Cricetulus griseus: one gene and its partners. Each later gene encodes a partner of the first gene's protein in a complex. Links are inferred from orthologs where the notes say so. Each region holds a gene or a part of one and is shown on either strand. Other genes may lie near its edges. The genes, in order: Asf1a, Cdan1 and Tlk2.

Region 1 (2,664 bases):
TTCAACTGTCTGGAAATCGGTCTAGAATATGTCAACTACAGATGTGCCCTGATCTTATCATTTTAATGAGAAGCAGAGGATATGGGGTATTGTAGCTGTGAACCTAAGACATACTTCTGAAGGTAGCCAGCCTAATAGGATAAAGCTAAGTAGACCTTTCTAAATTACCTTTCTGTAGCAACAGTGCCAAAAACACATGTTCGGAGTTTCTATAAACTGAATAGCAGATCTGAGCCATTATAATCTAATCTTATACTTTAGAAACCTTGCGTTTATTCTCACCATGTTGAAATCTTTGGACAATGATTTATGATCATGGTTTCTCAGTTTTAGAAGTAGGGAAGCATAAGCCATAGTCAGAAGGACTTCAAAGGTAGCCGCATTTATTACATAGAAACCAGAAGTCCAGTGTTAACACAAGCTGTGGTGGTAGCCACAAGACACACTGGGGTGGCCTAGAAAAACCTTGGTGGCTACAGTTGATTTCAGATTCCCTTTTTAAAGACATCTCTCTTTTTTTTTTTCTTTTTACTACAGTATGGAAGTTTGCTCCTTAAATTGAAAGGACACTGTCTTCACAGGAAAAAGCATTTTAGTTGAAGTAAACTTTGTTCTTTTAAAGGCTAGTAAAAAGTATTACTGTCCAAGAGGCTAAAACACCTTCACAACCTGGTCTAATAATTGATAAGTTTTCTTTTTATAAGTGCTTTAATTACATATAAAGAAGAAAATAATATATATATACTTTAACCAGATTAGTTTCATGAACAAATAAAATAACACATTAGAGAAAGAAAGTACTTAAAAATAGTTGTATTTATATTCCACAATTTGCTCAAATACTGGTTTTCTTATAAACTTTCTACAGGATGTTTTTAAACAAATTCTCTTCACATTTCACCTTGACTATGTACTTACGGAACTTCAGGGAAATAGTTCTGTTTTTAATAGCTTAATCTGTACTACTGGGATGGCACCTGGTCACATGCAGTCCATGTGGGATTCTAACATGACATTCAGTGAGTTTTCTGACGTGGACCATCCCTTTGATGCTGAAGGTAATGCATCTGTTGAAAGAAGGGACTGTAGATTTGGATTACTGCTCTCTGCATCTTCCAGTTTTTCTGTGTTATCTTCCCAGTTAATGTGGAATCTTGTGACTCTGGGATTAGATGCCAAAATATTTCTTTGAAGCTAGAAAAGAAACATTTAAATGATGAGCACCAGGAAAGTTAAGATTACCATATGCAAACTGAGTGGCTCTGGCAGTCCTTTTAAAGGACTAAATTCATATGCAAATGTATCAGCAAGTGAAGCACTTAAACCTAACTAATAAGCAAGGACTACAATAGCAAATAGCAAAAGAACTATTCCCCCTTGGAAACAAGGTAAGAAAAAAATCCATCTAGATCTTCCAACCTCCCCGCCCCCAACACACAAAGTACCTTGCTTTTATATTTCTGCTTCTTAAAGGATAATGGAAGGGAGGTACTTCTGCACACCCTTTAAAGGATGTTTTTAGTTAAATAAGCATGCCTTTAGCCTAATGTGTTTTCAGGCTGGGAACATAGTGCAAAAAAAGTACTCTGGCTAAGTCCCTAGGTTCAAATAAGCACCAAGAAATAAAACAAAAAACAAGACTTGAAAATTTTCCTCAAATAGAACCTCTAATTACTGGGATCTTAACTGTAATGTATTAAAATTCATTTTTAGAAACAGTATTCTAGTGTTTTGTTTTGTTTTGTTTTCTGCTATACAAAGGTTCTACTAATCCTAGCTCAACAGGATGTCTCTAAATTGTGGAAGATATCCCACCTGCACCAGCAGAAAGCAGAAGTCTCTAGTCTGTGGCAAGTCTGCCACATAGAGTACCACACAGAGTAAAAAAAAATCACAGTAACTAAGACTGGTAACCATTACCAGTTGAAAAAAATCTAAGATACTAAGTGATTTTAAGACTACTGAATCAGATTTTGATGTCTCAGAATTTAAGTTGTCATTATCAGAAATACTTAATACCTTTAGTTTAAGCTCTAATAATAGCAGACAGGATAACATATACAGATATTCTAAATATTAATAGAAATAAGCACACATTGGGCATGGTGACAACTGTAATCCGAAAGCCTGGACAACTGAGGAACAATGCCATAGCCATAGTTCAGGGCCACTTTGGGTTACAGCAGAAAGCCCTGTCTCAAAACCATCACAAAAGAAATGACCAATAAACCACATTTATCTTCTTGCTGTGATTTTAGGAAGTTATAGGCAAAAATATTTTTATAATCACTTCACTACAAAAATAAGACATTACATGTCCTCAAGGTTGAAATAAAAGACCTAACGGCAATGAAGGCCTGCTCTTTGCAGGAAGCTAGACCATCTGACTCAGGGTACCCATGGAACATTAATTCCTGGAGAGACAGGATTGAGGCCTTCCGTGCAAATGGAACAATTAGTTTGTTCAAACACTACAAAACTTCAAATTTCTTTACGGCCATGTTATAGAATGAAATAGCAACCCCCCTCAAAACTGAATAGTACACATAACTAAAAAGGAATACTAAGAGCCAGGCAGTGCTGATACACACCTTTAATCCCAGCACTTGGGAGGCAGAGGCAAGTGGATCTCTGAGTTCCAAGCCAGCCTGGTCTGCACAGCAA
Region 2 (2,312 bases), on another chromosome or scaffold:
AATACCAGAGAAGGCCAGAAGTTGTCAAGACCACACAGTAGTCTTAACCGTAGGGACTGAGGACTCAACAGTAGTCCCAAGAGTAGACATATCTCAAAAGACTGAGCTAGGGCTAGAGAGACGGCTCAGCATGCTGTTAAGAGCTCTTGCTACAGCTGGGCAGTGGTATTGAACACCTTTAATCCCAGCACTCTGGAGGCAGAGGCAAGTAGAAGTCAGCCTACAGAGAGGGTTCCAGGACAGCCAGGGTCACACAGAGAAACCCTGTCTCAAAGAAAAAAAAAAAAAAGAAAGAAAGAAAGAAAGAAAGAAAAAACTTGGGATGGGGCACTGGGTAATGTTAAGAACATGACTTTCAGGGATGAAGAGATGGCTTAGTAAAGTGCCTGACGTGCATACATGATGACCTGCATTTGGATCCCTGTTTGTGAATGTCTACCTGTAACCCTAGTGCTGGGGGAGCTAAAGATAGGAAAGTCCTGGAAGCTCAATAGCCAGCTAGTTTAGCCAATCAATGAGTTTCAGGTTCAGCAAGAATAGTGCTCACTAACAAGCACACATGCTAACCCCCCCCCTCACCAACACACACACACACACACACACACCCACACACCCACACCCACACACACACCCACACACCCACCCACCCCACAGAATCAATCCCCTTAACACACAACGTGAGTAGAGGAGCTGGGCATGGTAGCTCACATCTGTAATCAGCACTTGGGAGGTATAGGCAGGAATAATACAGCAAATTTAAGGTCAGCATGAACTACAGTGTAAGAGCCTAGAGAGATGGCTCAGAGGTTAAGAGCACTTGTTGCTCGGCAAGTTCAGTTCTCAGTACTGACATGGTGGCTCATAGCCACCCTAGTTCCAGGGAATCCAACAGGTATGCACATGGTTTACATGCATGAATGATGGCAAAAAACTTCATATATGTATATCTAACCCTCCACCCCCAAAGAAACCAGAAGCCTTGTGCCTCTGACTCACCTCCCTTGGCCGAGTATCTGCTAGAAGCCCCACATTTCTTGGGCTGAGTAGAAGCTGTAGTGGAACTGGCCCCTGGAAGTCATCCTTCCATAAGGAAAGCAGCATGTGCAGAAGCCTTCGAGCCTGTCCTCTCTCTAATTTGTGTTGTGTTGGGGGCCCTAAGATGGGGATCTGGTCTGCAACTACAGAAAGAGAAAGAAGGTAAATTTCAATGGAGGCAGAAGAGCATGACCTGTGCTCCTAACCTTGTTTGTACCCAACCTTGGGGGTTGGAGGAATGTATCATGTGGGATTTGATGGAAAAGGAACCATACCCAGGAGGGAAGCCAACTCCACAGAGCACTTGGCCAGATGCTGCTCAGCAGTTGGGCACAGGAACTATAGGGGGGAAAAGGGGAGTCATGAACATTCTTACTAGCCTGAGGACTGGCCCTGAGCCAACGTGGCTCATGCCACATCTCACCTGGCGGCACCGCAGTGACTGGCCCAGCTGGTTTAGGAGCTGTTCCAGATGCTCTGGGGAAACTCCCTCCTCAGGGTCCCGAGGCCCCGCAGCCAGGGAGAGTACATCCTGTAGAGAGCAGTGTTGAGACCTCATGCCAGGCTGACAGAAACTTGATTTGGGATGGGAACCAGCCAATGGAGAGAGGCAGAAGGAAAACCAAGCCCAAGGGAGTGAAGCAACTGGTGTTCTTAGGGCTGAAGCTCATGCAGGACAGCATAGCTAGGATAACAATTATGTAGACAATCCAGGGGGAAGTAAACGGAGCGATAAGCCTACAGACCGTATACTGCCAGAGAGCCCCAAAGATGTCACTCACCTTGTGACAAAACTACCTAACCAATTCCGAGAGGGCATCTTAAAAACTGTTTTATCTAGAGTCTGAACATCTCTCTCATGCTCTTGTTTATTTTCTCAGACATCTTAAAATAGAAATCCTCTGCATATTGAGAAGTGGTATCTAGCCTGATACCCTTCCCTGTCCCTTCTACAGTCTCCACTGATTGGCACTGCTTTCTAGTCTCTATTCTACAGCTTTATTCCCAGACCACTACTTTGTTTAGAACAGGGCCAGATAGTAATTTAGCCCTTGGAAGTCACAAGGCCTAATAAATATTGCTCCAACTATTCATCTCTCCTTTGGTAGCATAAAGGCAGCCACAGATGTTTATAAACAAATGGATGTGATTGCACTCGATAAAACTTTATTTACAAAAACAAATAATTTTAGACCATGGTTGTTTGCTGACTCTTGCTCTATAGCATCAGCCCCAAACCCCTATACCAAGGGATAATATGTAGGGCTTACACTATC
Region 3 (4,396 bases), on another chromosome or scaffold:
CAGTCGGTATGTGGAAAAATTAAGAATAAGGAAGAAATACGGAACAGAACTCCACTTTGGAGTACTTGCCAACCCCCGGAAAAGTTCAAGTGGCTGTTCAAACGCCTGAATGTTTCTCTTGTGATCCGCTTGTAGTCCTTCAGTCATGCTCAGATATCTGGTCAAGAAAGCATCAGAGGAAAACAAAAAGCCGCGTAGTTACTTTGAAGTCAGTGTCTTGGCTCATGAGTATAGGTGAAGAAAGTGATTTTTTTTTTCCTTTGGCGTTGGGGTCAGAGGGGGAGCCCTTTCCCATGCAGGAAGCACAGGCGCTCACCCTCTCAGCAGCTTGTCAGCCTGTTTTCCCACTCCGGCATTTACCCTCAGACCCCCGAGCAGCCCCAGGAGGCCCGTTTTGTCACCAGAGGTTGAAATGGAACCTCCCCCTAGGTGCTCTCAGAGAGTGCCCCGGGGGTAGCGCCCTCCGCTCCGGAGGGGGGCATGCTAGTGAGGGCTCGGCTCTGCTCCCAGGACACCTTTGTCCCTGGAGACGCCCGGCCAGTCAGGTACGTGGAAGGCGGATGCGCTCGGCTTCCCGCGCCCGTGGCGTGGGGGCCTGGGGAACCGGACGGTGGCTGCGGACCTCGGGTGGGCACCGCGAACTCCGGGACCCCCCGCGGGCGCCCCTGCTGCTTCCCCTCGGATCCATTCGGGGCAGCAGAGCCAGCCTCACTCCTCACCCACACGTGTGGAGATCGGGGACGGGGCAGGCGCGGCTCCGACGCGGCTCCGCGGCCCAGGCGCCGGCTTCCGGTGCCGTCCACACAAAGGCGGCTCCTGAGGCTCCGGCCCGGCCGCGTACCCGGCGCCCCCAGGCGACCAACCGCCCTCTCACGTCGCAGCCCGGCCGCCAGCGCAGCCTGTCGCCCGCCTCGGTAGCCCCGTCAGGCGCGGCCTGCTCAGCCGGCGCGGGGTCCCCCGGGTAACCCCTGCCCGCCAGCCCGCCGCTGATTGGAGGAGGCGGAGCGCCGGGGGCAGCGGAGACCCCCCCACAACACCTTTCGCGTCCCCTCCCCACGGTCGGCACTCCCCCCCCCTCAGGAACCCCCCCTTGCCTCCCAGCCGTGCAAATCTCGCGAGGAAACACGCGGTTTCACTAGTGTGTTTACACCGATCACTACTAATCCGGACCGAACCGATCCGGATTAAGGGGCCGGAGGCGGGTCCTGGGCACCAGCGGTTCCGACCCCCCCGCCCCCGGCGCCGCACCCGAGTGGCCCCAGCCGGCCGAACCCCCACTTCCCGGCCCGACCCGGGCCCTTCTGCGCCTCCCTTGGCCTTTGTCCGGCGCCAGGAGGCCGGTCCGCGCCCCCCGCGGCCGCCCGGGCCCGGGCCCGCGTCAGGCGCCTGGCTCTGTACGCGAGCTCGGGGATCTGCGGCCTCCGTGGCCCTCCCCCCGCCCGCCCTCTCGTGGAGCCCGGCGCCGGCGGCGGCTGCGGGCGGGGGTTGCGGCGCTCAGGAGAGGCCCCGGCTCCGCCCGGGCCTGCCCAGGGGGAGAGCGGAGCGGTCCGCAGCCGGGTCGGGTCGGGGCCCCTCCGAGAGGAGCGTGGAGCGGCAGCGGCGGCAGGTGAGAAGCCGAGCCCGGGACGGGGCAGGGCAGGGCGCCGGGCCTGGGGTAGTAACCGTCCCGGGGACCCCCGTCGGCCTGAGGAGGCTGCGACCCGGGCCGGCGTCGGGCCGCAGCTCCTTGGCACTGAGGCGGGAGCTGCTCCCTCAGGGCTGCGGATCGCTGAGGGGCCGGGCCGAAGATGGGCCAGGCCCAGGCCTGGCGATGAGGCGGTCGGCCTGCTGAGAGAGGGGACTCCGGGGAGCCGGAGGCCTCGGTGGCCTCCCCGGCGCCCCCGACTCTGCCCCTCGCGCCCTCCGTGACAGGTGGGCCTAGAGTTAGGGAAAGTTTGGAGCCGGCGAGGGGCGCCGCGACCAGGCCCCGGTGGGTCCTGCTTCCCGGTTTGGGGCTTCTGGGAGGATCCCGGTCCAAAGGCTCGCTGGAAAGAGATGGGATGGATATTTTCTTAACGTGAGTTGACATTAAATGGCATAACTGCCGGGGCCTCATTTTCCGGACCAGGCCTGGGGATGGAGGCTTGGGAAACGTTTCCAGAGACCTTGGGACTGGGGAGAGCCTGCAACCTCTGCCATTCCGACCTCGATTAGGGCAGGGCGAGTGGCGAGTGGCGAGCAAGGCCACTTACCCACTTAGGGAAAACTCAGTTTTATTTTCAGCCTCTTTTATTTTAAAGATGCCCTTCTGCCCTTCTACCAATTTCCTAATGCGAGTGAAACTTTAATTTGTCACCCTTTGCCCCAGGCTCTCCATCCAGGAAGGGAAATGAAAGTTAGGACTTGTGGAGGGGATGTTACTGGAAATTGTGGAGTTGTTCGATTGCAGAGAAGGTTTTCAGTGAACTTTAAAAATTTTGCCAGTCGCTCTAGTAACTACTCAGTAGTATGTTCGAGGGTTTCTATGTAATGATGTCTGCTCCTTCCCAGCTTTTAACATTGAAGAGCTTTTCAATGCATGGTGTAAGAGTTTGCTCTTCCAAAGGTTGGACATACTTGCTCATAGTGTCTGCATTAATTGGTCGGGGAAGGAGTTTAAAAATGGTGTCCTCCTGCCCCTCCCTGCCTGGGAGGAGTGCTAAAAGCAGATATCTAGAGTGGAGAGAAACCTACTGCTTCAAGGAGTGGTCAGAAAATGATTTTGTGAAGGAATTGTTGCAGCGTTATATTAATTTCCAGAGTGAATGCAGGTTGACAGTTTATCTTACATTTAACATGAAAGAATTGCAATTTTCATTAGCTAATGTGAGCTATTGGGAGAAAGGAGCTATACAGTGGGGTTTCTTGAAGTTATTTGCAGCTTCTGATTCATTCTATATTCATTTGAAATTATTAACGAATCCTATTTTTAGCTTAAGAACTAGTTCTTAGGTGTTTGGGAAAGGAATATTTGGAAGTACTTAGATGGAAACGTTGATAGGAGTTTTCTGTTTGCAAGTTTGCCCCTGTTTTCCTTCTCTGCTTACTTTTTACAGAGAATGTGGAGAGTTTGCTGTTTCTTTTTATTTTTATAAATAAAAGTTTTTATGAGACAGGGTCACATTGTGCATCCCTGGCCAACCAGGCTGCCTTCAAATTTGTGGATACCTGCTGCTTATAAGGTGGGATTACAAGGGTAGGCTTCCATTCCTGTCCCTCTTCCCGAGTAAAAGATCAAATTAGAATTCAGGAAAAAGGAAAGGCTGTCTCGTAGAAGAGAGCCTGAGCTGCTGTATAACCTGAAATAACTATTGAGAATATCAAATAACTTTGGTCAGAGTGTAACACTGGAGTGTATGGTTTTTTTTTTGGTTTACAAAATTCCTGTGCATTTTCTCTTTCCTTCCTTCCTTCCTTCCTTTCTTCCTTCCTTCTTTTTTTCTTTGGTTTTTCTCTGTAGCTTTGGAACCTGTCCTGGAACTTGCTCTGTAGACCAGGCTGGCCTCAAACTCACAGAGATCCGACTGCCTCTGCCTCCCAAGTGCTGGGATTAAAGGTGTGTCACCACTGCCCGGCTCCTGTGCGATTTCTTATACATAAAACTCTTTCTCCCATTTAGTTTTTCATGGCTTCTTGGCCCTTTTCCTTCCTGTAGAAATGATGGAAGAATTGCATAGCCTGGACCCACGAAGGCAGGAATTATTGGAGGCCAGGTTCACTGGAGTTGGTGTTAGTAAGGTGAGTAACTTGGCGAACATGGACATTTCAAAGTATAACTTAAACACATTTAGGAACTGAATAGAAGGGCTTGGGTGATAGGGCTTGCTGTTGGTTGCAGGGGAAATTGTCTTGTGGACTAGTGAACTTTGAAATCCTGTCATTCCTGTGGAACATTTAAGTGTTAGTTTGGGAGAGTATGTTTCTTTCCCATTTGAGTAACGCAGAGGTTTCCTGAGGGGTTTGTTGCAAGGATGTGGATCTAGATTCTATTTTGTATTTTGTTAAAACTTTTCAGGCACTCAGAAAGCAAGAGGCATTGTAAAGCTTTCACATACTGGGTCTGTTGGGGTAGTTACATGATACAGTGCTGTTGGATCTTCATACACTGGGTCTGTTGGGTTGGTTACATGATACAGTGTTGTTGGATCTGGTGAAGTCTGTCAGTTCTCCAAATGTGCAACTAGTAGATTCCTCCTGGTTGTATCCTTAGTCTGCCTTTTCACACTTTTATTTTTTGTTTTATGTATATGAGTGTTTGCCTACATGTATGTATGTATGTACCCAGTGTGCATGTTTGGTGCTTGCAGAGGCCAGAAGAGGGCATCACGTGTGCTGAAATATTGGGTTTAGATGGGTGTGAACTGCCATGTGGGTACTC

What was found.
Region 2: the proteins of Asf1a (region 1) and Cdan1 are in contact, whole or in part, in a cryo-EM structure (PDB 9CVC), measured with the Homo sapiens proteins. The link is inferred for Cricetulus griseus from reciprocal best matches to the Homo sapiens genes ASF1A and CDAN1. Residues at the interface, in NP_054753.1 of Homo sapiens: Gln5, Val6, Asn7, Asn8, Val9, Val10, Val11, Leu12, Asp13, Pro15, Asn20, Pro21, Phe28, Asp37, Val45, Ser47, Ala48, Glu49, Ser50, Glu51, Glu52, Asp54, Asp58, Ser59, Val60, Leu61, Val62, Gly63, Pro64, Val65; in NP_612486.2 of Homo sapiens: Arg195, Arg196, Ile197, Asn198, Thr200, Val202, Lys390, Leu391, His470, Glu471, Glu472, Pro473, Gly474, Trp475, Asp476, Lys538, Arg541, Arg544, Leu545, Gln546, Arg548, Leu549, Met550, Ala551, Pro552, Gln553, Ser554, Ser555, Arg806, Lys807.
Region 3: the proteins of Asf1a (region 1) and Tlk2 are in contact, whole or in part, in a crystal structure (PDB 7LO0), measured with the Homo sapiens proteins. The link is inferred for Cricetulus griseus from reciprocal best matches to the Homo sapiens genes ASF1A and TLK2. Residues at the interface, in NP_054753.1 of Homo sapiens: Val45, Ala48, Glu49, Glu51, Asp54, Asp88, Val92, Thr93, Val94, Leu96, Arg108, Gly110, Tyr111, Tyr112, Arg145, Thr147, Phe149; in NP_001271262.1 of Homo sapiens: Arg11, Arg12, Gln13, Leu15, Leu16, Glu17, Arg19, Phe20, Thr21, Gly22, Val23.

The regions. Positions count from the first base shown.
Region 1 is NC_048595.1:255,430,314-255,432,977, forward strand, and holds the end of Asf1a (histone chaperone ASF1A), read right to left. Parts: intron 1,195-2,664; coding exon 982-1,194; 3' UTR 505-981; downstream 1-504. UniProt on the Homo sapiens protein: Histone chaperone that facilitates histone deposition and histone exchange and removal during nucleosome assembly and disassembly.
Region 2 is NC_048599.1:57,757,392-57,759,703, reverse strand, and holds part of Cdan1 (codanin-1), read right to left. Parts: intron 1,568-2,312; coding exon 1,460-1,567; intron 1,375-1,459; coding exon 1,311-1,374; intron 1,179-1,310; coding exon 997-1,178; intron 1-996. UniProt on the Homo sapiens protein: May act as a negative regulator of ASF1 in chromatin assembly.
Region 3 is NC_048600.1:118,152,978-118,157,373, forward strand, and holds the start of Tlk2 (serine/threonine-protein kinase tousled-like 2), read left to right. Parts: upstream 1-1,477; 5' UTR 1,478-1,606; intron 1,607-3,673; 5' UTR 3,674-3,675; coding exon 3,676-3,756; intron 3,757-4,396. UniProt on the Homo sapiens protein: Serine/threonine-protein kinase involved in the process of chromatin assembly and probably also DNA replication, transcription, repair, and chromosome segregation. Phosphorylates the chromatin assembly factors ASF1A and ASF1B.